2 linked regions of the Saccharomyces cerevisiae S288C genome follow. The protein of the gene in region 2 binds, or shares a complex with, the protein of the main gene of each other region. Each region holds a gene or a part of one and is shown on either strand. Other genes may lie near its edges.

Region 1 (3,005 bases), on a different chromosome or scaffold from region 2:
ACCGTCTTCTTCGTGGTCTCTATCATTCTCCCATGGATTATCAATGCTCTGAGTGGTTTTCAAACATTTACACAAATCTTCCAATTGGATTTTGTGCAGAGAAAGCTTCTCAATCATAACAATTTCTTCTTGAGATATCCCCAAATGATCATATAGCCGTGATAAAACCACAGTTTTCCAAGCAGCCATATCCTTCTGGGTAAACTGTAATCTATGTGCTAGTTTCTTGTGGGATTTAATGTCAATACAAAGACACAGCGTAGCCAAATTCGTGCACATTTGATTTGCCAAAATGTTTATTGCACCTACGTAGGCAAACTTCTCCATATCAGATAGCAGATTTTTCGTTATGTTTAACTGCGAGTCCCGATTCAAGTCGTTCACTGGTTCCACGTCGTCCTCATATTCGTCATAAGAATCATCATCATCGTCATCATTATTTTTTTCATTGTTCAAGGATGTAGTCGAAGGGGAAGAAGTCAAATTTACGGAAGTTTGCGAACTGTTAATTTTCTTTTTCAGTACTTTGTGGTCAAAAAGGAAATCTGTTTTTTTATTTGTTCGATAGGATCGTTGGGCTTGCTGCTCAGCGGCCATTTTCGTATAGTCAAATCTAGAATCATTGACACTTTTGCAATTTTTTCCTGGAGGAACTGTGGGAGACGTCTCAGAGGCTTGTTCTGAGTTTCTAACCTTGGAAGTCAACTCTAGTTCGCCTCTGTGGTTATATATATTGAACGATGAGACAGCGGGCATCTCTTGCCAGCCTCCATCATCTGAATCAGAGTCGGAGTCTGAATTGCTCCTGGACTTTGTACCTGGAACAGGATCCGTATCGTGCACAGATTTAAAAGGGTCCAGCAAAATAGGTTTATCGGCCCGATCAATACCGCTATCTGCTTCATTAGGACTGCACACTGACTGTGATGAGGGAAAACCTGTGCCCTCTTTTCCTGCTTCTCCCTCATGTAAAGCATCTTCGGTTCGTGTTCCGTCTTCTTCTCTTCGTTTAAAAACTTCTTCTTTAGCCTGTGTATGCATAACAGTTAAATCATCTTGATTACTCAAGCCGCAATCATGTTCGGGGCTTGAGTTGGATTCTTCATCAGTATGCTCCCCTGACTCCTTCAAATGCCTCGCTATCTTCAAGCCTTTCAACTGTACACCTAAATCTTCCTCCGAATCGGACATCTTTTAGTACTGTAATGTTTAATCTTCTCTTTTAACTCTGCCTCTATTACGTTCGAGAAACCCTTCCACTATGCTTTCCAATCACTAATAGAATCACTAAAACTAACTGTACCAGCCAGTAAGGAAAATACGAAGCTATTCAAACTCGGAAACAAACTAGCGTATGGTATAATTCTCTATTAGTAGTACACACCCTTTCCTACTACCACGATAGGATCGTTTATTTGCACCGCATTTCCTTTCATATTCTTAAAGCATTAAGGTCGGCAAAATATCGAGACTGCTTTCTCCATGTCAACACCCGTACATATTCAGAGATAACACCCATAAATTATACAAAAAAGTTTCCAAACTTTTTTTTTTAGACAACGCGAGCCGAATGGATGAATTTTTCAAGCAAAAAAGAGCTAATTACCTAAATGATTCATATATGGATTATTAAAGTACACGATTAATTGATAATTATTGATTTTTTTTGAACATCTGGGATCATAAAAACACCGTAGCACAGTAAACCTATATCGTTTCACAAATATCAACCACAATGGCTCCAAACGTACGTTAATTTTCGTTCCTATGTCACAATTAGAGAACATGAAAGAAAATAAAATCTTTAAAAAGTTTGTCTATTCCTACAGTTCATTGAACAGTCCCGCTTTCACAGCGAACTAGTGGATTCCATCTCGAAGTTACATTTTTATGTATTCAGCTATTCTGTATTTTAAAAATTCACCCCTTATAGCTTTAACAGAGGCAATGCGCTTTCTCTAGCTATATGAAGTGATTGTTAATAGCAGTAGGCCAGACATTTTTTCCTCGTCCAAACGACAAGGATGATTTCATCTCAGTTGGGATTACTAACATAAAACTGTAACAGACTTCCAGAAAGCAAAAAGTTATCAAAACCTTAACCGTTGACGTTTCCTCTCCAACTGAAAACGGAGTCTTCGATCCGGCTTCATATTCCAAGTACTTAATCGATCATATTAAAGTAGATGGTGCCGTAGGAAACTTAGGGAACGCCATTGAGGTTACTGAAGATGGTTCTATAGTCACTGTAGTATCCAGTGCCAAATTTTCTGGTAAATACTTGAAATATCTAACAAAGAAGTATTTGAAGAAGAATCAGCTAAGAGACTGGATCAGATTCGTCTCTATAAGGCAAAACCAATACAAATTGGTTTTCTATCAAGTCACCCCTGAAGATGCTGACGAAGAAGAGGATGACGAATAAATAGACACTCACATGTATATTAATTTATAAAATGCTATTCATATCATAATTCACCACCCTTAATATATCCTTTTGTCCCTCTTTTGATTTACATATTTTATTTTTGCAATATGTCACTTCACGAAAATTAGTGAAAAATAGAAAAGAAAAAGAAATGCTTTAGCTTTTGAAACACGAAGATCATCAAAAAACTTTAAGAAAAGCAACTACCCCAATTCCGCAAGCCAACCAAGCATTTATCAGCACATCATGTCCTTCTTCAACTTCAAGTATGTTCACACTGTTGTCGTTTTATTTTCTTCTGGACCTGCGTTATCATTTTACTAACTAGCCAACACACCTAATCAAATCATTTGATCCTACGTGTATACTTTGCAAAACAGAGCATTCGGAAGAAACTCAAAGAAAAATAAAAACCAGCCCCTTAATGTTGCTCAGCCGCCAGCAATGAACACCATTTATTCAAGCCCCCACAGCAGCAATTCCAGATTATCGTTAAGAAATAAACATCATTCGCCTAAGAGGCATTCTCAAACAAGTTTCCCCGCACAAAAGTCTACGCCGCAATCACAGCAATTGA
Region 2 (3,205 bases):
TCGATGGGCTTGATCCGTATTACATTTATGCAGAAAATCTTCCGTTGGTATGTAGAGGCGACTGGAGGCTCCGCATCTCTATATTTGACCGCGACAACAATGTCAGTGCTCACTCAACGAGGTCTGGATTACCTTAAAAATACTTCGGTTTACAAGAGGGCGGAAAATGTCTTGTACGGTAACTCAAACACTTTAATCTTTCGAGGAATTAAAAGAATGGGATACCGTATGAAGATTGAAAATACGGCCATCGTTTGTACTGGGTTCACATTCTTTGTGCTGTGCGGTTATTTTTTGGCCGGGTTTATCATGGCCTGCAAATACAGTATCGAGTTATGTATAAGATGTGGTTGGATGCGGAGTGATAGGTTTTACCAATTTAGGAAAAACTGGAGGTCAGTTCTGAAAGGATCGTTGTTAAGATACATCTATATTGGGTTCACGCAACTGACAATTTTAAGTTTTTGGGAGTTCACTGAACGGGATTCCGCCGGTGTTATTGTTATTGCATGCCTATTCATTGTATTGTCATGCGGGTTGATGGCGTGGGCTGCGTACAGAACCATTTTTTTCGCAAGTAAATCTGTGGAAATGTACAATAACCCAGCTGCTTTATTGTATGGTGATGAGTACGTCTTAAACAAGTACGGGTTTTTCTACACCATGTTCAACGCAAAACATTATTGGTGGAATGCTCTTTTAACGACGTATATTCTTGTAAAAGCTTTATTTGTCGGATTCGCACAGGCATCAGGTAAAACGCAAGCATTGGCTATTTTCATTATTGACTTGGCGTATTTTGTTGCCATCATCCGTTATAAACCATATTTGGACCGTCCAACGAATATTGTCAACATTTTTATTTGCACTGTCACCTTGGTCAACTCTTTCCTTTTCATGTTTTTCTCAAACTTGTTTAACCAAAAGTATGCTGTCTCTGCCATCATGGGCTGGGTGTTTTTCATTATGAATGCTGCGTTTTCTTTGCTTCTACTGTTGATGATTCTGGCCTTTACCACAATCATTCTGTTTTCTAAGAATCCTGACTCCAGGTTCAAGCCAGCAAAGGATGACAGAGCATCTTTCCAAAAGCATGCTATTCCTCATGAAGGTGCCTTGAATAAGTCAGTGGCCAACGAATTAATGGCCCTAGGTAATGTGGCAAAGGATCATACCGAAAATTGGGAATACGAACTGAAGAGTCAAGAAGGTAAAAGTGAAGATAATCTTTTCGGAGTTGAATACGATGACGAGAAAACAGGAACTAATTCAGAGAATGCTGAAAGTAGCAGTAAGGAAACCACCCGTCCAACCTTTTCTGAAAAGGTTTTACGTTCATTATCAATCAAAAGGAATAAGAGTAAACTGGGCAGTTTCAAGCGCAGCGCTCCGGATAAGATAACACAACAAGAGGTTTCTCCTGACCGCGCCAGCTCTTCGCCTAACAGCAAGTCATACCCCGGTGTCTCGCACACCAGGCAAGAATCTGAAGCGAATAATGGGCTAATCAATGCATATGAAGATGAGCAATTCAGTCTGATGGAACCAAGCATACTGGAAGACGCTGCTAGTTCCACCCAAATGCATGCTATGCCAGCCCGAGATTTGAGCTTGAGCAGTGTTGCAAACGCCCAAGATGTTACTAAAAAAGCAAACATCCTGGATCCTGATTATTTGTAAGCTTTGTCGATGGGATAAAGGTAAAAAGAACAACGTAATTAAATCATTACGAAAACTCTACTGCATTATTTTTTAGTCTTTTTATAGAGACATGAACATTCAATTACTTTCAAGGATAAATATTCTAATATTCATATTATTCACTTATGTATTTTTAACGAAACTCTACTCCATTCTACTGGGATCGGGCATACTTTACGGGGTGCACGGATTTTAGCAGTCTTTTTCTTTCTTGGCTTTTGCGAGATGCCTTGAGAGGAAGATTTTTTTTTCACTCAAAACCTCTGTCTTGTACATATCTAGAACATGTTTCATTGATATTGGACGTTACTATTTCAATTTAACAGTCAACCAGTCGTCCAAAAATGTCCAAGATCACTTCTTCTCAAGTCAGAGAACACGTCAAGGAATTGTTGAAGTATTCCAACGAAACCAAGAAGAGAAACTTCTTGGAAACCGTCGAACTACAAGTCGGTTTGAAGAACTATGACCCTCAAAGAGACAAGCGTTTCTCTGGTTCTTTGAAGTTGCCAAATTGTCCAAGACCAAACATGTCCATCTGTATCTTCGGTGATGCTTTCGATGTTGACAGAGCTAAGTCTTGCGGTGTTGACGCTATGTCCGTCGATGACTTGAAGAAGTTGAACAAGAACAAGAAGTTAATCAAGAAGTTGTCTAAGAAGTACAACGCTTTCATTGCTTCTGAAGTTTTGATCAAGCAAGTTCCAAGACTATTGGGTCCTCAATTGTCCAAGGCTGGTAAGTTCCCAACCCCAGTTTCTCACAACGATGACTTGTACGGTAAGGTCACTGATGTCAGATCTACCATCAAGTTCCAATTGAAGAAGGTCTTGTGTTTGGCTGTTGCCGTTGGTAACGTTGAAATGGAAGAAGACGTTTTGGTTAACCAAATCTTGATGTCTGTTAACTTCTTTGTTTCTTTGTTGAAGAAGAACTGGCAAAATGTTGGTTCCTTGGTTGTTAAGTCCTCCATGGGTCCAGCTTTCAGATTGTACTAAGCATAATTACGTGTTTTCATAGTTTAACGCTTTCAGAACTACTTATTTAATTTTGTAAGAAGTAATTTGAGTCACATTTGTATTTAGTAAAAGATTAAGAGTATTTCTATTTCACCGCCTTGATAGGAAAGAGCGGCGCGGAAGGGCAGCTGTAGGGAATTTTGCTCTGTATTCCCCTGTTTAATATCAAAAACAACAGAGAAGGATCCCCGATGAGAAAGACGCTCGGGAGGTCTCTGTGTTTGCTAGGCAATTGACATATTTAAAAGATTTTGTTTGAGGTTTTGCAGATAAACAAGAAGCAGTATGGCTAATGATCAAGATCCCAACAAGTCTCTCATTAATGACGCTTTGACTCGGAGTATGTCCGAATTTTATGATGATGATGATGATAACGACAGTGACATGTGTAGGGCAAATGATGAGGGAGAAGACGTTTTTGACCTTCCACTTAAGGTAGGCGTTTCTCAAAGCAGGAACTTTTCAGAAGTAAATGACGTGTTAGA

The links. The genes of interacting proteins can lie anywhere in the genome.
Region 1: RPL1A (region 2) and RPL22B share a complex: the UniProt entries of both Saccharomyces cerevisiae proteins name them as parts of the large ribosomal subunit.

The regions. Positions count from the first base shown.
Region 1 is NC_001138.5:63,663-66,667, reverse strand, and holds RPL22B (60S ribosomal protein eL22 RPL22B), read left to right. Parts: upstream 1-1,735; coding exon 1,736-1,747; intron 1,748-2,068; coding exon 2,069-2,425; downstream 2,426-3,005. Other genes in the region: MIL1 (Mil1p), read right to left, coding at 1-1,191; MOB2 (Mob2p), read left to right, coding at 2,675-2,694, 2,809-3,005. UniProt on the Saccharomyces cerevisiae protein: Component of the ribosome, a large ribonucleoprotein complex responsible for the synthesis of proteins in the cell.
Region 2 is NC_001148.4:133,745-136,949, forward strand, and holds RPL1A (60S ribosomal protein uL1 RPL1A), read left to right. Parts: upstream 1-2,045; coding exon 2,046-2,699; downstream 2,700-3,205. Other genes in the region: FLC1 (flavin adenine dinucleotide transporter), read left to right, coding at 1-1,680; PCL8 (Pcl8p), read left to right, coding at 3,006-3,205. UniProt on the Saccharomyces cerevisiae protein: Component of the ribosome, a large ribonucleoprotein complex responsible for the synthesis of proteins in the cell.